2 linked regions of the Mytilus edulis genome follow. The protein of the gene in region 2 purifies or fractionates together with the protein of the main gene of each other region. This does not show direct contact. Links are inferred from orthologs where the notes say so. Each region holds a gene or a part of one and is shown on either strand. Other genes may lie near its edges.

Region 1 (11,892 bases), on a different chromosome or scaffold from region 2:
GGCCATACTTGCAATTGGAATTGATTGGTGTCATGAGAGCTGAAAATTCAGTTCCTGAAATTTTCTCACCAGAACAGACATCCAAACCAGGAACCTTTGTGCTAGTAATCAAATGGTCCATCTGATGAGTTAAGCCTTTATCAACTGATTTTTATAGTTCATTCTAATGTTGTACTGTTATACCACTGTCCCAGGTTAGGGGGAGGGTTAAGATCCCACCACATTATATATATGTACAATGTATGTGCCTGTCTCAAGTCAGGAGCCTGTAATTCAGTGGTTGTCGTTTGTTTATGTGTTACATATTTGTTTTTAGTTTGTTCATTTTTTGAAGATAAATATTAAGGTCGTTACTTATCTCGTTTGAATTGTTTTACATTGTCATTTTGGGGCCATTTATAGCTGACTAGTAGTGACTACATTGTATGTGTTATGGGGTACAAATCAAAGCATAGCTGTAAAAAAGTAAACTTGGCCTCTGGTAAAATTGGCCCTAATTCTCATGATTCTATCATGTCTATTTTCACCTTTTTTCTTTCATTTTTATTTGAGAATAATTGTTTGCAAATTTACAATTGTAGAGGGTCATTTCATCATGTTCATACATTATTTAAAATGTACATTATATGTTATTAACATCAAGAATGCACATTGACAATAATCAGTTGGCTTTCAGTTTGATGTTTTCTCAATTATAATATTAATATTTTTTAATTGGTTATCCCATTAACTTGTATGAATTTAACTTATATATATACATTGTAGTTTGTATATGTATCAATTACAAACAATAACCTCTTTCAGCCTTTGTCATGTTTGTTGCTTTAACAATTTCCAAGTCCATGGGTCACAGATGATGCCCGCGCTTGCATGTGAAGTTATAAAGGGACATACATAAATTTTGTAACTCAAGAACTGTAAATGTGGCAATACCCAAATTTGTATTCCGACTGAGTTTTGTTGTAATATGCATGATAAGTTTTATAACATTTAGTCAATGCAACTTACATGTACATTACTTAAGTTAGGAAACAGAAACAAAAAATTCAGCATTTTTTTCATTTATAAAGGGCATACAGTCAAAATAAGGCCTACAAATTTCAAACTTGATCTGCGCTTTTTGTTAATTAGGCCAGGATTTTTTAATTTGTTGGTTTACGGATCCGCCGACCTGATTTTGCCTATTTCCAGAATAAAAATAAAATTGACTTTTCATGCTTTTTCATTCCCACCGACCCTAACAAATGCATTATCCCTGAAAAATAAATAAATTATCCTTTTTTTATAAATGAAATGCATTAATCACTAACAGAATTGATAACACTTTCTGTTGTGAAAAAATGAAACTTCCAGTTTACGTTTCTAAAAATAGAAAAATCGATTATTAATGACCTTGACATGTCGTTTGGAGAAATATTTTTGTGGAACGAAACCCTTGTTTAAAACCAATTACACAATAAGTTCGTTTCTCTTATTTGTCAACAGTCCGTAAGATGCATCTTCTCATAGAAATAGACTTGTCCAAATGTGGACAGGTGGAAGTTCAGGACATCAAGTTAAAGTACTGAATATTAACAGATCATTTAAAATTTTCTTGTTTCATAGATAATAAAAAAATTTCGTCCATTTGGATAAAAACGGGAATGCGTGACAACAGATTAACCCGATATTCTCGTTTTTTCCAGTGGACGAGTCTATTACGTTTTTGACGCGTGTGTTGAAAATTATTTTCTTACCACGCTTTTACATTTATTTCTTTATAAGTTTTCGTTCTTGAAGATCATTATTCACCAAGTTTTCTGGAATTGATTAAGAGCTATGTGAATTTGTCTTCCTTTATGAAATTTAATTACGTCTTTGTCCGTGCACCCCCTTTTTTTCGGAAAATTATTAGGCAATGTCATGCAATTTTTATTACAACTGAGCAATAATATTTCATTAAACTAAAATTTAAGAAATGATGACAAAATAGGATAACAAACATATTATTAGAAAGGTGAAATATATATTTATTTTGCATATCAGTTTTCTGTCTTGAAAGATATTTTTTTTATTTTTTCCCGACCGACCGACCCGACTTTTTCATGGAGAAAATCCGTAAACAAACAAATTAAAAAACCGTGGCCTTAGCATTGTGAATAAGTTTCATAGCATTTGGTTGATGCAAATTAAAATTAATTAAAGTTGAAGAACAAAAACAAATATTTCAGCAGACAATGGCAGAGAAATATTTTGGTAGGTGGAAAATACAATACACAAGGATATGTTGGAATGTAGGTTGATCCCCTCTATAAAATGTCCAGTATGTCTTCGAATATACAAATATTAGTAATTACACCTTATCGCTATTTGTCCACCATTACTGCATTTACTGGATATCACACAGGTTCCTGTAAAATTTTGATGTCTGTAAAACAAAATATCTGACCCCACAATAAAAAGTGATTGTTGTATGTGTCACAAGTTGGTCCGAGTACACAGTTATTTCGTAGTGCATTTCTTTTAGACAATAAATGTAAATAAAAAAAATCTCACCTGCGCTTTCTCAATAACATTTTTACAGTGTGTTGTACTACTTTTGGGACAAATTATATCAAAATTATAGAAAACTTCATCAGCTCTAAGTCAAAATATGGACAATTTTGTGTTAAGGGGGTCTTGAAATCTTTTGACAGCTTCCGAAGTGCTAATTTTTGACCTTTTTCAGCTGGACCTTATCACTACTTTACCTAAATATTTATGACCCAAATTTTTTTACAGTGTCATTTCACCCCCCAACTTGCTATATGAGGCATAAAACATGGAGAATTAAATTTGGAAGGGGTATAACATAAATTGGCAAGTAACACACTGTCCACATTAAGGACTATATTCGTGGACAACGAAAATCAAAGGACGATAACTGTGTACTCGGACCTAATAGGATAGAAAAAGTTGCCCAATCTTTATAAAACTTGGTATGACAAAAGCCTAATATATTATAAGACTGCTTACAAAGTTTCATAGCAATAGGATATATATTATAGACACTATGATTAATTCTATATTCAACTTTACGTGTTAAATTTGGACGTTAAAATTGAGAAATTTCAACTATCAACATTTGGGGCTTTTAAAATTAAAAAATTGCAAAAAAATACTTTTAAAATGCCTTAATATATAATACATCATGTATTTAAAGCAATTCAGTACTCATTTTATATATCAGACTTAGCATAATTTTTCAAAAGTCAAATTTATATGAGCCTGTGCCTAAAAATGGAGGTTTTCTAATGAAGGGGAGCCTTACATGAAGATGTAATATTTTCCAGCAATTTTAAATTTGTGAAGCATTTTGATTATAAATTATCCTTACATATGTACTTAATGTACTTTAAATGGAAAGAAAACTTACAAATAACATATCATATTAGTTTAAAAGGGTCTTAGGCCAAGTATGACTAAAAATAATTTAGGGTCAATTTAGGCCGTAGCACATATTTACATTTAAAAATGCATATTGAAGCTATAGGAAATAAAAAATTGTGTCTTTTCTATCATTTCTATACTCAGGTGACATGATACAATAAATCTGAGCACAAAAAGCCTATTACATTCAACTTTTTGAGCAGACAGTATGGTCTGATACAAAGATTTTTCACTTTTTAGTGAAATACTTGCATCAATTTTAGTCTCAACAGGCTTATATTTGAACCACATGGTATCCTACAGAGGTAAAGAAAGATATTATGTGAAATGAAACAGGTACAAAAGACATTGTTAAATGCTTTTTATACAATTTTAGTGAGGTCTTTATTATGGACTTCAACTTTTATGTACCATGCTCCTCACATTTAACTTGATCCAAACAGGGCGTTAGATGAGGGTCATTTATACAACACACTTTGCTCATATTGTCTGAGATAATCTTCTTTTCTGTAGATTCAGAGTTCACAAATGAGTAATACAACTGGATTAAAGCATAGAAACACAAAAATTGACACATGAAAACATGTCAGATAGAAAGTCAAAATGCCACTTATGCATCAAAATTGAAAAAGCTATGAAATGCTTATTTTGACCATATAATGCCAAAATTGGTAATTTTTGCAGAAATTCTATCAAATAAAAGTTTAAATCCTTTAGTTTTATGCTATTTGACAAATTGACACCATCAGATCATTCAGGGAAGTTGCCAAAGTACAGATTCTATATTTCCTGATTTCACCTCTTAGGTCCGAGTACACAGTTATTTCGTAGTGCATTTCTTTTAGACAATAAATGTAAATAAAAAAAATCTCACCTGCGCTTTCTCAATAACATTTTTACAGTGTGTTGTACTACTTTTGGGACAAATTATATCAAAATTATAGAAAACTTCATCAGCTCTAAGTCAAAATATGGACAATTTTGTGTTAAGGGGGTCTTGAAATCTTTTGACAGCTTCCGAAGTGCTAATTTTTGACCTTTTTCAGCTGGACCTTATCACTACTTTACCTAAATATTTATGACCCAAATTTTTTTACAGTGTCATTTCACCCCCCAACTTGCTATATGAGGCATAAAACATGGAGAATTAAATTTGGAAGGGGTATAACATAAATTGGCAAGTAACACACTGTCCACATTAAGGACTATATTCGTGGACAACGAAAATCAAAGGACGATAACTGTGTACTCGGACCAGTTCAAGCGGCCGGGTCAGCCGGGATTAGCGATAAGGTGTATTGTCAAGCATTTCAATAACTTCCAGCAGACTTGTTGAAATGCTACTGCAATACACATTCCAAGGCAAGGTCATGAAAGTTCAATACACAAAAGTAGTCTGGCAGTTGACAGAGCTATGAAACGATATTTGTTAAGAAATGCAGGCTAGTGATTTCTTTTGGGCTATCAATGTATGGTAACCCAAGCCCAAACCTGGGAACAGTATATCTAACTTTAATATACTTGGTTTTTTATATAGGATAGCGATCGCCATTGACAGTAAAACCTCGTCAGACCCACTAAACAAGCCCCTGTGCCAAAACCAATGCAAATGGCAATGACAATTTTGAATAGTGGCCAACTCTAAAGTGCAAGTATCTCTGAAGAAAAATAAATTTCAGAGTTTCGACAATTACCTAAAATGTTGCAAGTAAATTGCGTGAGAGTTGTGATTGAATAAGTTGTTTTCAAAACATATTTTTTTTTACCTTCTGTCAAAATAAACAGGAAGTTGATCTTAGTCATAGGACATCATAAAACCTTAGTATACGATCCCGATATTATTAAATTTTTAAATCAGATGAGATACACTTCATTATACTGATTTCTGTTAAAACGTTGTAAAATAGAAACACAAATATATTTTTAAATGCAATCAGCTTCTAGCGCACTATAAAGGATCCCACTGGAAAATTTCAATAACAGTTTTGTTGGTCATCCTATAAAGCCGTATCAGAGACAGAGACATATGTCTCAGACAGAGACATATATGTCTCAGACAGAGACATATGTCTCAGACAGAGACATATATCTCTGGCCGTATATATTGTTAGCTATATAAAAGGTCAATTCCACTCATAATTAATCGAGTCTATGTAAATTTTCATAATTTAATTTTTAAAATTATAATTTAAAGTAAACATGTAAAAAGTTTGTATTGTCAATGAAAAAAGAAAAGTGCATTTCATTATTACATATAGACATGGTAGATCATGGTAGTATGAAAAATATTAAGTTCAAATCGAGAACTTATATATATATATATATATTCCCAGGTTTAAGTGGAATATGTTTAGGGAACGACCATTGAACTTCAAAAGGCCGGAGGGTGCTAATTTTTTTTTTCGTAAACAAATATTCTGTTTCCCAAATTGATGAAAAAATATTCAGTATTCTATTCAAGCAGAGGACTTAAGATAGTATTCTGAATCCAGATTTTCACCATACCTTCTAGTGTTAAATTTTGAACTTTGATTGATAGCGGCAAAGCGCTTGGCGTGAGAGAAAAAATCTGACTCAAACTAAAAACATGTCCCCCCCCCCCCCCTTTAAAGCTAAATGGTTGCTCCCTCAGGTTCTTATTGTTTTCTGCTGAAATAAATTCATTGGTGATTTAATTATAACAAATGACATTATGACAATTCTTATATACTAGTATGTGCGTACCTAACAAGGTCTTCATGACCGTCTGACAGTTTTCATTTTACCTTGACCTCATTTCATGGATCAGTGACCACGGTTAAGTTTTTGTGGTCAAGTCCATATATCAGATACTTTAAGCAATAAGTCTAATATGTTTGGTGTATTGAATGCTTATTTTGTTTAAACGTCCAACTTGTAGGTGTCATCTGTACATGTACAAATAAAGCAAAAATGAATTTGTATACCTGTTATTTGTACAATAGTAGGCTAATTGCAGGATAAAGCTTTATATTTATGCCTTTCAACATAAAATCAATGGTAAGTAAAGAAGGCGAGACATTTCAGCGTGTGCACTCTTGTAATTCTTTGCAAATATTACAAAATTAAAAAACAAAAAAAAACAAAAAAAACAATCCATAACTTTATCAATTGTAGATTTTCATGGAGATCGAGGTGGAGAATTTGGAGTAGTTAATTTCTACAAAAGTTATCGCAAAAATGCAAAAAATGTGTCAAATCAGCAATGAAAGGCAATAATTCATATACTGAGGCTACTGAAGATTCCGACCACATCAAGTTATTTGTATATCCTATAAATCTAGCGAATGGTTTTTAGGGGTTTGAGAATCTATCTATTGTTTTTTTTTCAAAATTTTAACAAACACCGCAAAAAGAGAAAATAGATCTCTATTCAAGATTATTATTCACAATGGTCAATAACATCTTTAACGGGTATATTTACAATTTCTGTCAATTTGATATATGAGTGAGGTTGTCTTAATGATAATCAAATTGTTTTCAAGATCATAATAGTTTTGAAGAAACCGATCAAAACATGGCGCAATTCGCTGACTATTGACATCCAAAGAGCGATAACTCAGAAATGATCGTCCGATTTTTCAAAAAAATTAATCGTAATATCATGACTGCTTTTAATTTATAATTTATATATTTTTTACGCTTTCCTCGCTTACAATTTTCAAAACTGCATTAAAATTAATGGAATATATACATCATCGCGGATTATATTTACATTTAGCGTTTCTTTCCGTCGCGAAGTAAGGAGGAAATTAGTGACGACTTCGATTGACGTCGGACGTCATAATATCTTCAGTAGCAACGTTGTTGTCGAGCGAAACAGTTTATATTTATTTTATGCAAAGAGAACGAGGAGGAAAAAAGAAAGAATTACGTATTATCTAGAAGATGAATAAGGAAATTAAAGATTTTAGTAAGTATTAGTTATTCTTATTTTAGAAATTTTATTATTGCATGTCAACTGCGTCTTTTTGGAATATATCTTTTTTGATATATGCAATCGAAACTTGTAATGATTGCGAATGTCACAAGATGCATTCAACAGCTTTCGATTGTTCGTGCTTCAAAATATGTACTTCTATATAACGATTGGTTTCAAATGTATGGTTTGTTTGTGTGCGCTTCAGCTTTGCGCATACGGTAGGAAAATATCAGCGTTAAACTATATATTTATTCATATGGTTGAACACCCTTTCCCCATTTTCACCTCGGCCGTCTACGCGGCTTTTTACTTTTAGTAATACGATACTGTATATGACGATTTAGTTTTGCATTTAATGTTTTATGGAGATGTGAAAAACCTTTACAATTACTAGTATTATAAATAAGTGGCATTAAAAAGAATATGATCTTAGTTGGTATTTCAGGAAAGTTTTAAGCGTCTTACATAATTAAGGCCTTACTCTTGATTTAGGGCAAAACAAGTTATTAGGCTCAAATTATTTCCATTTTTGACGTTAACAATGAAAAAATATAAATTAAAAAAAACGGAACTTAGCGGTGATTTAAAGTTTGGCGGTTAAGAATTCCTACTCGGCACCATCAAACACGCTTTCATAGATACTTCTGTATATATATATATATATATATTCCACTTCATTTATTCTTATAAGAATAAATGAAGTGGAAAATTTTCTGATATACTATTACGGAAAAGCTGGAAATATGGAATATAAAATTAAACTGAAATTTTGTTTGGATAAGCCGACTTGGATAAACGAACCTTGTCAATTGACATGGGACAATCAGTTGTGTTATAATATGGTGGTTTTTTTTTTGCCGTCAGCCTGGCCTTTAATATATCGTTGTGCCATTTTCAGGTATGAATGAAGATAACGCGATCTTTGAACGCAACTTGAGCGGATTTATCTTATCTGTATTGCATGCTGCTTGCAGCGAAACAGAATCAGATGCAGTGTCAGTTCAACAAGCAATGGACACAGACACAGCAAGTGAAGAGGAAAGAGAAGCTTTCTTTGGAAATGCCAGAACCAAAGAGTTTGAGAGACTTACTGCAACAATGACAGAACAAAATGCTGAAGCAAAGAACACAGAAACAGCGAGTGAAGAGGAAAGAATTGCTTTCTTTGGAGGTGCCAGAACCAAAGAGTTGGAGAGACTTACTGCAACAATGAAAGAACAAAACGCTGAAGCAGAGAACACAGAAACAGCGAGTGAAGAGGAAAGAATTGCTTTCTTTGGAAATGCCAGAATCAAAGAGTTTGAGAGACTTACTGCAACAGTGAAAGAACAAAATGCTGAAGCAGAGAACACAGAAACAGCTAGTGATGAGGAAATAATTGCTTTCTTTGGAGAAGCCAGACTTAAAGAGCTTGATAGACTTATGTCAACACTGAACACACAAGTCGACAAAGTAGAGAATCGGGACGTTCAAGCCAAACCAAAGATAATTATTACAGAGGAGATTTTGAACAATCAGGTCGAAACAGAGGCACTAACAGAAGAAACAGCTAGTGAGAAGGACCGTGTAGCGTTCTTCCAATCGGTTAGGGATGCAGAGCGACAAAAACTTGTTGAAGCATTTGAAAGAGAGAAAATATGGAAAGAAGAAAGAGAGGAGAGACGAGAGAAAAAAAGACAGGAACAGATCAGAAAGATGTTTGAGGATTTTCATAAACCTGCAGTCAGTCCATTATCGGCCTCATATGTACCAGGTCCATCAAAAGAGCATTACAATCTGGTATTTAAAAATATACTATAATGTTGCATCCTTTTTAAAAAATATAAATAAATAATGAAAATAATAAATCAGTATGTATTGGTACGAAGTCCTAAATTTGAATCATTATATAATTGTTCTATGCGATCGTATCCAGTCATTGTTGGTGTTGGTAATGTTAAGTTTTTAGATTTTATAATACATGTACAAAATGTATGTAAATTGTTAAAAAGTTTATTCATGACTAGGTATATTCACTTGATTTCTCGAAAGTTTGTTTCGATTTTGTAGAAAAGAAAATGACTAGTGTATTACACAATATTAATGCTATATTATTGGGCTGTTTATTTTATAGTATCCAAGTAGCAGCAATACTGAATACAACATAATGCTGAAATCCTCAGTCTCAAAACTTCACGAGAGAGTGAAAGCTTTCACCGAAGAACAAAAAGATCTCCAGCGAAAACTTGAACTATCACATGCCATAAAACATAGAGATACAGAAGAAAATAAAGAAAATAGTAAGTTTATAATAATTTAAGATATTGATTGATTATGCTCTCTACTATATAGTATTATAGCTAACTATAAGCAGACAAGATGAGTCCCCAGGAAACTTAATACAAATTTAAAGTTGTTAGAACAAACAATTTCATCAACTCCCTATATACGTATCAACAAAGGGTACTAAGTAAAAGCAAAAGGAGATTCGACCGAAAATATGAATTCGACCAGATCCTCTTTTGATTTTAATTTCTCTCTTTGAAACGGTAAAGGGCTAGTCGCAACCATATAACTAATATTATGCTTTAAGATCCTTTCAGAACACGTGACTAAAATACTAAGGCTGAAGTACTTTAAAAACTATAACAATATATTTGATAGGACACATCAGCATAAGAACAAGAAGTGATGCAGAAATACTAGAGGCCGACAGAACCAATGACGTAAAGAGAACAAGCTCCGTTAGACGCTTCGTAAGCAGGATGTTCAAGGTAAAGATATTTTCATTCTCAATTTTATTATTATATTTCTAGTTAGATTATAGCTTTTTTTATTGTTGTATACCCCGTATCTCATTTTATTGTCGTTCATATCCCGTATCTCATTTCACTGCTTTAATTATCCCGTATCTCAGTTCACTACTGTATATTTCCCGTATCTCTGTTTACTATTGCATATACCCCGTATCTCTGTTCACTATTGCATATACCCCGTATCCCTGTTCACTACTGTATATTCCCCGTGTCTCTGTTCACTATTGCATATACCCCGTATCTCTGTTAACTACGTATACTGTATATACAACGTATCTCTGTTCACTACTGTATATACCCCGTGTCTCTGTCCACTACTGTATATATCCCGTATCTCTGTTCACTATTGCGTACACCCCGCATCTCTGTTTATTCATATGCATTACGCGTCTACTTACCTTGGCATTGACAATTTACCATTTTTTTTACATTTAAAACACAATTGATATTTTATTTTGATGAAAAATAGTATTTAAATTGATTTATTTTTATTTTCAGAGAAGCAAATCGACGACAGCTGATTTAAGTGCTAAACAGATAGACCCAGAAGAATTGAAGCTAGATTTGACATTTTTGAACGATAAAAAAGAGGATGACCATGAACATGATGAAGATGAAGGTAATAACCTCAGTCAAACTACAATTATTTCACTTTATAACTTGTCTTTTTCGTTGTTGTTGTTGTTCTTCTTGTTTATGTTATACAAGTTGTCAAGAACACCCATCCTCTTGTTTGTTGTTGTTGTTGTTGTTGTTGTTATTGTTGTTGAATCTGATATGGGAATTTGAAAACACAGTACCAATTAATTTGAGGTGCGCAAATTGAATATTTAAAGAAAGGGGGATCCAACTTTATATTATTTGTCTTCCAAGACTAAAAGATGTAGTTTTAATAACAACAATAGTGGTTTAACTATAACCTTTCTCAATCAGTTTATTGAGCAAAATAGAAAGATCAGAAAGGAGACCCGTAATTGGCTATTATGATACTAAAAATGCTTCAACAGATATGTCAAGCGGCTTCAACAGATACGTCAAGCGTATCTGATGAAGCAGCACAGCTATAAACGGAATGTCAGTACATTAGGGTACCCTCCATCCAAAAGGACATAATCACTAGTTTTACGACTCGATTAAATCAAATCAATATTGCATGCGTCGTAATAAATCATGGTTGCACCAATATAGATTAAAAAACTAATGATTGTTATGTTGCTCATCTTTTTGAATTTGATATCTGAAATTTTCATTTCGCCTGTCAAACTTCTGGTCTTTAGCGTATTATTGATCCAGAAACATTTGCCCTGCATGTGGTATATAAAGGATCGGTACTATAACTTTGTATTACCGGTAATAAAAATACAACAAAACTTAATGTTATAACTTATAATAATTCTTCTAATTTTTCTTTGATTTAGACCAACCAGATACAGCAAGAACATCAAACAGTGAATGGTTCACACTCAGTGATATCGAGGAACCACCCAGACCAAGACTTAAGCCATTTTTTACTCCATTGAAAGAAACACATGAGACCACAATATCAAAGTCTACCAGTCATAGAGCCGCTGAATTAGTTAACACACTTCTGCTAAATGAACCAACCAAACCAGTTCGCACACACATTGATTCTATTAATGCACGCCCTTTAAGTAGATTTCATCGTTTAAGAAAATGGTTCAAACGACTTTGCTGCTGTTGCTGTAGCCAGAATACTGAAGACAGGGATACAGTTTGTTCTTGATTTAA
Region 2 (11,721 bases):
TACTATACTGTGTAAAATGTCTAATGTCATATGAGGAAACCAAATTATCATCCATGTCATGGGTAAAGATAAACCATGAATTTCAAATGTTCAATGAAAAACAATGTAAGAGACTGACATATAAATAACCAAACAAAAAATGAGGACCAAGTGTGAATAACTAATTTTAATTGAATTGAATGAAAAAGTACATTTTTTTATAGGTTTGTACAAAAAAACCATGAAATCAGATATCCATGAAAAATTTTACTCCATAAAAATGAATTAATCGATATAATCCATATTATATAGATAAAATTTTGTAGATAAAGCATCATAGATTCAGAGAGACGAAGCTACAGGCAAAACTTAAGTGAAGTAACTTGAGCATAAACATATAACATATAGTTTATGTGGACCTAAAATTTTATGTTGTATCAACTTCAAGAATTTAGCTGTTAAACTCCTTCTCAAATCATGAAGTATTTCTAGGTAATAATAGGCTAAAACATCAATGTGAAAATGGTCAGACATTGCAAGCATATCTGCTCCAGCAGTCACAATTACAATTAAAATTCTGAATCTTCCTAAAATATTACTTAAGGTTTGTGTAGGAGTAAAAAAGGTAAGTATTTATAATTGAGGTAATCAACAGTGAATCATAATATTTTGACAAAGTGTGTAAAAATATCAAGCTTTCTATAATTAAAGTGAAGACTTGCAAAGTGGTTTGATAAATGCCTTGAAAGATATGAATGGCCTTGTATGATTATGTCACCCTGTGATGTTATTTTCTATGTTATCTAAATCTACTTCAACTCAGTAGCAATAACAAGTCTCAGCATCAACCTAAAAAAATAGCTTAATGTACAAACACATTAGTGGGACTGCATCTATAATTTATCACCTACAAAACCATCTTTTCTCTTGATGAGGAGAAATTAGGTTAGTAAGAATGTGACATCAAACAACAAATGATGTACAGAAACTTGATAAACTCCATTATCTGAAGTTCTCTTTGTTTGAGACCCTTATCATCCCTACAATCTATAACCAAGTATTGCACAAGTCAACAACCAAACTTCATAACACTTTCTACAACTTGCTAAACCAAAACAAACCTATAGGGCATACATAACATATATACTAGTTGGGTCATGACTTTTTGTCATATCGTCCTAAGGCAAGATGCAAATATTTCATAATAAACCACAACCAAGACAGTATAAATCATTAACTCATATACAACCAGTCCATACAATTCCCATATCACTGTCCATGCAATAACTGTCTTTCAATACATCAAATTGGTCAATATATATCTGTTAAGATCAAACTTGTATATATCAAAGTGTCCTGAATTGCCAGTTGAGGATGCAGAATTTTTCATTAGTGGAGGTCCACTGACTGCCTATACCAAGGCGACTTGCTCCAGTCATACACCAGGGATTTCTTATATAATCAACAAAATTTTTTCCTAAAAAGGAGGGCCGGGACCCCCCTCCTCAAAATCTGTTTAACAAATTCACCTGAAGGTCATTTATATAGTAACAAGCAATATCCCTGCACTTAAGTTTTACCTGTCTTGTTACATTCCAACATACATAGACTTGGTATATGATAGGTTATATAACTAGCAATGATTAGTTATAGATGGGTTATGTTTATCACCTGTATTCTACATTAAGGTACAATTAACAACAAAAGATTCTGCTTATCCACTTGATTACTATAGCTACACAGGATGTTACAACAGTTGCCTAGATGTCAAATAGTTCAATTCAAAAATACATGAAATTTCATACTTATTCAAAACAGCATCCATGAGTCCCAATATAAACTATAATCTATTTTTAGCAAAAGGGAATAAGATGCCAGTTGACTGGAAACCAGTCAAATTTCCTTAAAAGAAAACCCTGGATACCAGTCTAGAACCTCTCAAAAGAAGTCCCTAAATCAACCATCTATAGTGAATGTGATTTTTAAATGGAATTTTATGTGAATTAGAAATTCATATGTAGGGAGATTATCTGAGTAAACGTTCCACAAATAATTAAACAATAACAATAAAACAAAAAAAAAACAATAATTCAGTATGCTCTGTATTTTATATTTCAACACCTCTTTTTGCAATAAAAACAGGAAAATCTTTCCCCTGTAATGTGACTGCAAGTTGTAATTAAATGTTTGATAGTCTGGTTTATTCAGTGTCATTTTTCTTTCCTTACCTTTGGACCCTTTTTCACTGGTAAATATGTCAAATTGATATTTTAAATCATGCATTAAAATGTTCCATTTACAGGTTAGAGTATCAACTTGAAGAGTCTCTCATATTAGTATTTAAAATCCTTCTAGTCTTAAGAAGTATTATATCATTTGAAAATGTAATTGAAGGATTGTATTTATGTCTCATTTTACTATGTACAACCAAAACCATATGTTCTTGCAAATATGAAAATTGTGTCCTTGAAGTGTTTCTGTGTATTATAACTTAAAGATTAAATTTAACACAATAGACTTGAACAAAGCAATATCTTCAAATGTTTCATGTTGAAAATACATGTAATATTTGCCACTGGACATTAAGCAGTCCACAATCAATTAGTTTTATCTTAACAATGTGTATATTATTATTTTAATTATTGAAAACAATCAACAATCAGCAATTGTCAGCATCAAGTCTTTTTACAATTGGACAGCTTTCTCAATTTATTGGGAAAAAATAAAATAATGAAAGTTACTATAAATGTAAAGATTAAATGGGACATACAGGATAATTATAATTCATCATAAGCAAACACTTTGTCAATATCAATATTAATTTGACCATAATTGTATTAAATATCAAATTTTAAACCAATATTGCTAGTTATTTCTGGTATGTATTGATTGGCCAATTTATAAATCAGTATGCCTGATATTGGCTTTACTGACAAATACAGTAATTCTCTTATCACTATTTTGTATTCTCCTATTCATACATTTATGTTATATTAAAGAGTGGCAGCCAGAGTTTAATTTGATAGGTACATGTATTTTCTTATCTTAGTCTGAAATAACAATTTAAAAATTCTGTTTTTAGCTTTTAATAAGTCAATTCAATTCAATTAATATTTATAAGTCATTCAATTTCACATAATATTAGATTCACACAATTTGACATCGCAAGATCAAATGATTATCATTATGTTATACCTGCTTTAGAAAGATCAAAGAATCATCATTTGACATTGATCTTTAACCTACAAGCTGTACATTTCATACCGCTATCCTATTCTGCTTGCTTGTATTCAATTGAAAAAAGTTTGAAAACGATTGGACACAATAGAAAAGACGCTATTGAATGCTCTGCAATGCTTGCAAGAATTTCTATACTACTAGGGACCTTGACCATAAACCTAGGACCACACAATTTTAAAATAGGTGTTCCTTCAAAGTCACTGATTTAATTTTGAAGATTTTGGTGTATGTATATACCACTAAGTGCCTACAAGCCTTTTTAATGGTACCACAAGAAAACCTAAACCTAGTGCCTCTGATTTGATATTACATAATTAATACATGTTTATTTCATAAGTATTGTGTCATATAAGGTTACAGTAAGCGGTAATCTATACACCAACTACAGTACATACACACACCTTCAATCCATTGTGGGACTTTTGAATTCCATGTATGAATTTATGACCATCACATTAAATAAAGTTTCAAGCTCTAGAAAGATGGATAAAGATTGGCTTAGCATAATGATGCATACAAGAATGTTACTGAGGGTACAATTGTTTATATACTGATGGTAATATATAAGCATTATCAAATACCTTTCACACCAAGTAAGGGAATGCAGTGTATGAACACATGTTTTGTAAACCAAGCACACAAGAACTGCAAATACATCATATACATATATACTTACTGTGCCATTCTCATACCAAAGCATGGCATGATTTCTGGATAAAACTTTGCAATCAAATATGCCATTGTTGTTTGCCGGTCTAGCTCTTGCTACAGATCTGCCAATCTTGACTGGTTCATGAAGCGAAATATGTCGCTCACGAAATGGATGTGAATTTGGCTGACAGGACAAAATAGCCACTGCAGACATGGCTGACTTATGCTAACCTCTTCCTTTATCCTAAAATTATACAAGATATAATAGAGCCTGAACTGAGAAAACTTCATTTTTTTTAATTCTTATACCGGTAATAGTTAATCTTCTATCTTCTTCTGTATAGGACCAATTGAGCAACTAATGTATTGTATATTTATTCTCAGAAGTCCTTAATATTGCATGGAATACTTGCCACTGAGTATTGAGAAGAAAACAAGTTATCAAACAATATCAACAGATTTTAAAGATTTAAGTGTATGGTAATTTATACAGTGTGTACTTCATCTTAGAAAATGAAAAAGAATTATCATTGATTCAAGTTTATTTCAATGTACAATACAATGTAGACATTAGAAAATAGTTTTAGAGAATTTCTTCTCGTTTTTCTGGGGTTTTTTTTAATTATTTTTGCAAACATTTCTCTACAATTTTAGGCAATTAGTGGTCAACAAATTAATAATAAACCAGATTCAATAACAAATTAAATGAATATGGATAATAATGTTTATAAAATTTCTTGCCTAGCCTACCAAAACAAGGCGTAGATTGAAAATTTTAATCCGAACCTTTTGATACTCTACTACAAGAAGAAGTTCGGCTGCTCAGAGTTTTATTTACTCATATTTGTACAAACATTGTTTTTAATTTTTATTTTCATTGGGTGCCAATGTTTGTTTATATAACTATTTCAAGATTTTTCACAGTATTTATCAATCATAACAATATCAAATAAGGTAACAGATCACAAGGGTAATATAATTTAGTATTTCAGAGGTGGTTACAATCAGTTAAGCATTTCACTAGACAAAATTAAAACAAAAGCGTGTATAAAGCTAGTTTACATTCTTTTTTTAAGACAAGAAAGATAAAAAATATTATATCTCAAGGTTAAAAGTTGAATTTTTAAATGATGTTGACATATTAAAAATACGTTGATAACAATCTTAGAGCAATAATTTTCAATTAACTTTTCATATTTAAAAAAATATTTTCAGGATAATTACTGCTACATTGACACTGGAAAAATTATGAATTGCGGGGAAACGCTGTTCTACAGAGAGGCAAAAGATTTGCAACGTCACAGATGTGAAACGTCAAGATGCTTTTTAAACAACAAAACAAGAAAAAAACTCAGCAGCAAGAAGTTAAATAACAACACATTTTGGTGTTGACAAAAAAGACAGTATTCACTTCCCTCAGTTCCCAGAAAGAAAATATTTCTGGACAGTAATACCATCACATCTTTCTATATAATTCAAGCAAAACCTAAACAGGAATACATTAGGAACATGTTTATTAGTCATTCTAACTGAAAATATTTGTTATTGAAATTATACTGAATAGTCTGAGTTATAGGGAAGCACCTTACCATAACATTTCGTGTAAGGGTTTATTTCACCAGTTCGAGACAATAATAATAGATGTATCATGTTGAAACTAAATATTTATTCACCTATGTTCATTATTTATCTATCTAAAATTTCTAAAAACAACTAAAACATATCGAAATAAACTGATATCTTACCATTCATTTTCTTCTTTCCTTTCAGGAGACTGCAGCCATCTTAAAATTTTAGTGTGATTTAATCTCTAAAGAATATTATTCTTATAATCTTTGTAAAAGTAAATTATTAATACTAGGTTATACAAAATAAATATAAATTATTAGTCTTTTAGTAATTTTTTAATGAAACAGAAGAACTTAAAATAATTGATTTTTGATTCGAGACTAACAACAATAAAGGTGAAGGACACCTGCCGAAAATGGCAGGAACGAAAGAAGAACCTGTTTTCCATCGAGAAAAATCGCCAGATGATGGCCCACAGTCACCCACTATGTTACCATGGGACAGATTTTCAAATTGGTTATATTGTGCTTGTGTTGTTACGTTTGACCTAGAATTAGGTCAGGCCATGGAGGTATGGGAAACCCAGTATCGTTGGACTTTTCGATTTATAAATACAGCTGCTGATAGAAAAAAAATAAACATTAGTACCGATTTCAGTGAACTCGATGCTCGATTGTATGTGTTTATAATCCTCCTTTCTCAGTAACACCATCGTGAGAATAGCGAACATACTTGAAAGGAAAAATATTTAACTCATTGACACTGTATTTGCACTAAATAAACAAAGAAAAATTGTAAAAATTGATAAAATAACAAATATTTAACATAACAAAACTATGACAAACTATGATTAACCATTTAGTTTTAATGCATTACATAATAAAAAATAAATAAATAAGATTTATTTAGAGTTGGCAAGGTATACAAAGTTGAAACATAGACAAAATAAGCTGTAATGAGCTTTTAACTGACATATGAAACATTTTTAACAATACAACATCTATAACAATACAACACATAATACACATGCAATAAATTTCACAGCACAAAAATGAAGCACTAAAAGCAGAATATAAGCATAAGCTAGGTATTAAAGCTATAAGCATATAGGTGTAAACTAGGCATAAAAGCTGGCAAAATGTATAGCATAAAATATTTAAAACAGGGTATGATCTACATGTAGATGACAGATCTGCACAAACTGTGTACTTACAGTCATTTCCCTTCCATGACTTCAAAATATTTTGGAACTGACTAAAATTAGCAATTTTTCTAAAATCATCAGGTAGATCATTCCATAAAACAGCAGCTGTGTATTTAAAAGAATTCTTACCATAGGTTGATGTTCGGACCCTAGGTATATCTACAATATTAGAATATCTAAAATTATATTTACAATCTTTCAATACAACTTTTAAAACACTCAATAGCCATGTTACGCATACATTTGTACGTCTTATTTTCAGTGATGGAACCTTTGCTTGTAAAAGTAGTCCATCATATGAACATAGTCTTCATATATAAATCGTAAAGCCCTTTCCTGAATTTTTTCCAATTTGGTGGTGTTATTTTTGTTGCAAAAATGCCATGCCAAAGGACAAAAAATAAATGTGTGGAAAATGGTCAATTTATTCAATTTTGTAATTTAGCAGCCAATGCGCTTTAAAACATTCAGTTGTTGGGATGCTTTACAACAAATATTTTTAATGTGGTGATTAAAATTAAGTTGATAGTCAATATCAATACCTGAAAGTTTGACAATCTCATTACAGGATATTTTTGCTGACTGTATATTAAAAACAGGCTTTTTTGCAAATGTTTTATTTCCAACTGCAATGGCTTGGAATTTATCAGGATTTGCCTGCATACAATTAAATCTAAACCAGTCAATTAAAACAGCATTTTCTCTTTCAAGTGTACATAATAAATTTTCAAAATTGTTGTCAGCATATGACAGAGTATTATCATCGGCATAATTATACAGGGTACCATGTTCAATAAAATAGAATATGTCATTTATAAAAATATTAAATAATAGGGCCCCAGGATTGAGCCTTGGGGTACCCGTTTCTGGATGTCAGTCCAACTGCTGAGTACTCCCTGAAGTTTGATTTGTTGCCTATGATCTGTAAGATAATTTTGAAGTAATTTCACTGATTTAGAAGAAAGACCATAGGCAGATAATTTACTTAAAAGAATATCATGTGGTAAACAGTCAAAAGCTTTCGAAAGATCCATTAGAAAAGCTGCCACATACATATTTTTATCCAAAGCTGTTTTCAAATCTTCAAGAATCTCAACAAAGTTGTCTGACATCAATGGCCTTTTCTGAATGCACATAAAAAAGCATGAAATATATTTTCAAAAAATTCACAAATTTGATTTTTTTACCAGGCATGTGCTGGAAAGCAAACATCAGTATGTGTTGTGGTTTTCTGAAACTGAAGAAGACTTTCAAATTTGTGCACTTTCTGTAAATTTTGTCACAATGATTAAATTATCGTAAGTCTGTTCGCTCCCTTAAACATTCACCTCCTGGGTTTGTTTGCACAAAATTAATATTCAAATGCAGTTAATTACTAGAGGAGGTTTCAGCCACACAGCCTTATTGGCCACAGTTGTTTTGGCTATACCCCTAATTCAGTTAATTACTAGAGGAGGTTTCAGCCACACAGCCTTATTGGCCACAGTTGTTTTGGCTATACCCCTAATTCAGTTAATTACTAGAGGAGGTTTCAGCCACACAGCCTTATTGGCCACAGTTGTTTTGGCTATACCCCTAATTCAGTAACACTTAGCTAATGGTTCTGCCATGGGTTTTTATGCCCCACCTACGATAGTAGAGGGGCATTATGTTTTCTGGTCTGTGCGTCTGTCCGTTCGTCCGTCCGTCTGTCCCGCTTCAGGTTAAAGTTTTTGGTCAAGGTAGTTTTTGATGAAGTTTAAGTCCAATCGACTTCAAACTTAGTACACATGTCCCCTATGATATGATCTTTCTAATTTTAATGCCAAATTAGAGTTTTTACCCCAATTTCACAGTCCACTGAACATGGAAAATGATAGTGCGAGTGGGGCATTCGTGTACTGAGGACACATTCTTGTTTTTATTGTTATAAAGGGAGGAAGATATAATTGAATAATTACATTAGATGTATGTTTCATTATAATATTTTATTCTGATTGGCTAACTGCACATCACGTGTTATTCCGTAAGCAGTTGCAATGCTCAATACAACTTTTCATTCATGATAACATGTGCTCCAACAATAAAGTGCACAGGTGAATTAAATAATAAAATATATAAAATTCGTGTTTTCATAATCATAGCTAAAAAATGTAATTATAAGTATTGAATGCTTCTTTTTGTAACTTTATAGGGTTGTAAAAGCGTTGACCGTGCGTACATTTTTAGAATGAAGCGCGGATTGACTGTGCGTACATTTTTAGAATGAAGCGCCTCCGCGCTTCATACAAAATGTACTTCCGTCAACGCTTTTACACCCCAATAAATTTACAAAAAGAAGCATTCAATTCTTAATTATTAAATCAGGAAAAAGTCATGAACTGATAGCAAGTTTGTAAAGTGTATCAGATTCTACTGATGAAAGCTCAAGTTGGAGCTAATATGTTTAGATAACTCATGTCAGTACACCATTTCTATATTGCCTACTGGATTGCTAATTTGTAATTCATGAACATTTTTAAATTATTTTACAGCCATTGCTATGCCGATGAGAAACTTCATATTGTTGATGGTTAGGCCACACCAATTTGATTCCTTGTTCGACGGACCCGCCCGCACCTATTTTTTTCAAAACAGAATTTTTTTATTTTTTTTATATTCCCGCTTCCCGCATCTGGAAATGTAATCTTGTCCATATGAATATTTGTTTCAGCATGAAACCTATTTATCCAAAGCGGGAGTGCTCCATAATAAATTTATAAGAGCAGAAATACCTGTAAAGAACAAAAAATTGGTTACTTTCCCCCTTACTTATATTCCCTATCAAAAAAATTTCGTTGTTAGAATAAAGTACAAAGAACTTCTGACGGATTTGCCTTCAACTGCAATTATATTGTATGCTGGCGAAACAAAACTATCCATAACCGCTGCATGTTTATGCACCTGTCCTGATTGATCGAGGGGCCTGTCGTTCAGCAGTTATCGTTTGTTGATGTTGTTCATTGGTATTTTCCCGTTTGGATATACATGATATATAAATTAGATCGTTGGTTTTCCTGTTTGAATTGTGTACGCTAATAATTTTGGGATCCTTTATAGCCTGCTGTTTGGTCTGTATCAAAGCCCTGTGTAAAAGGCCGTACTTTGACCTGTGTTTGTTATTATCAGGTTGAGAACAACCCTCCCTCAGACAAGGGGTAATTTTACTGATGTAGAAAAGAAAATAGAAATACCAAGGATTTGTATAGTTCTTCAATACAAAACCTTTGAAAACTTAGAATTTTGTACTCAAAAAGAGAAGAGTTACATCATATTTTAAACAACTTTTTCTAAAAGAGGGGTCCACTTATTTTGAATAATATTAAACTGTTAAAGTAAATGTGTTAATTAACATGGTTAAAGTCCAGGAATATTACAAAATTCTTGGACATGTTTTGACCATTTAATACCAGATAGGTATATAGTTCTTTGGGAAAACATGAGCCCTTTTGTACAAAAATATATAATAACTTATATTGATCCCTCATAAAACATGTAAAAGGGATATTTATAACATAAAGGGGTTGTCCCCAAACTGATTATGACTTGGATGGAGAATTGTCTCATTGTCAGTCACACATACATAGACCAGATTTGATTATTTCTTGGTGAACAGGGAAAAAATACTTCAGAAATTAAAGAAATGTCAAAGTACAAGCTTTAATATTGTCAAAACCTACTATTTTATGTTTACAAAAAAAAAATTATAATCGCTCGCCTTTACTTTTCAAGCTTCGCCTCAAAAATTTGCAAATTAAATATTTTTTTATTAAAATTTTCAAATCGCTCGCTCGCCCCAAATTTTGGAGTCCAAAAATCCGTAGAACAAGAAATTAAATTGGTGTGGCCTTATGTAAAGATATAAATAAATAACGACCTCGTGCAAATGGGCTATTCAACTTTGTTTCGCATTCAGTTCTGACATTATTTTCCTTATAAATGGCTAAAACGACTAATACATGCTCAACAATCTCTAGCTTATGGGTTAACTTGAAATTTATAAAAATATGTAAGGGAGATTGGAAGAAATTGACTTGGGATCTTAATTGAATACCGGCACTAGGACAGCATAAACTTAAGTGGAACCAAGTTGGGAACCTGCTGCAAAGACAGGGACACAAAGCAACAAGGTCCTGTAATTTTCCTCAGAAAAACATTGAAAATAAGCTAAAAAGCATAATGCTATATTATGCTCATAATGCTATATTATGCTATGTTGTAGTTTATGTAAATGTGTTTTTTAGGTCTTTCCACTTTTCTGTGGAAAGACCTATTGTTTTTCTTCTGATTATTTTTTTTTTTTTTTTTTTCTTCCGCCAAATTTTGTTCTTGCGATAAACATTTGTTTCACAATATGTCGCTTTGATATTTGGTATATGATATCGAACAGTTTATGCGCTTTTGAAATTTACCCTGCGTAACCGAATACTTTTCTTTGTAGGAGTTATCTCCCCAAACACTGTTTTCCTTGTGCTCACAACTCCTTTGCAACCGTAAAAGATAACGACAAATTTATTTTACAAATTTGCTCGTTATATCCTTTGCATGATTTGTCCTATTTTGACCGAAGCAATATGACCGCTCCATATGAGAGTTATTTCCCCTTATGCATCTGATATAAGTGATATGCATTTCTATCTTATAAACCATAAGTGATAGAGACCTAGGATCTTTTGATTTGAGGTCCTTGGTCCAAAAAATTGAAAATTAGGTCAAGGTCAAAGGTCAAGGTCATATTCTAATATTTGAATTTGGCTTATTTTCACTTATATTCAAAGACCGTATAAGATATCAACAAATTATTTTTACTAAATTGTTAGTTGCGACATGTCGTAACCCATAAATTTTTATTGCAAGGGCACGTTGAACGTAAAAGGGAGTTTTCTCCCCTCTTGTATTTAAAAATACGTGTTTGGTGATATAAGTCATTAACCAAATATAATTAAGACCTATGGTCTTTTGATTTGAGGTCCTTAGTTCATCATGACCTTGAAATTGATCTCAAGGTCATAGCTTAATTTGACGTTCTAGATTTTGACCTTTGCTTTTACTTTATATGT

What was found.
Region 1: the proteins of sarcolemmal membrane-associated protein-like (region 2) and FGFR1 oncogene partner 2 homolog purify together in Homo sapiens (affinity purification with mass spectrometry; 3 studies listed by BioGRID and IntAct, with this or other methods). This does not show direct contact. The link is inferred for Mytilus edulis from reciprocal best matches to the Homo sapiens genes SLMAP and FGFR1OP2.

The regions. Positions count from the first base shown.
Region 1 is NC_092350.1:79,886,429-79,898,320, reverse strand, and holds the start of FGFR1 oncogene partner 2 homolog, read right to left. Parts: upstream 5,244-11,892; 5' UTR 5,175-5,243; exon of another isoform or gene 5,103-5,174; intron 1-5,102. Other genes in the region: caldesmon-like, read left to right, coding at 7,315-7,339, 8,247-9,127, 9,462-9,627, 9,992-10,101, 10,642-10,762, 11,562-11,887. UniProt on the Homo sapiens protein: May be involved in wound healing pathway.
Region 2 is NC_092344.1:98,978,244-98,989,964, forward strand, and holds the start of sarcolemmal membrane-associated protein-like, read right to left. Parts: upstream 5,690-11,721; 5' UTR 5,616-5,689; intron 4,115-5,615; 5' UTR 4,085-4,114; coding exon 3,896-4,084; intron 1-3,895. Other genes in the region: protein DENND6A-like, read left to right, coding at 5,855-6,010. UniProt on the Homo sapiens protein: Associates with the striatin-interacting phosphatase and kinase (STRIPAK) core complex, forming the extended (SIKE1:SLMAP)STRIPAK complex.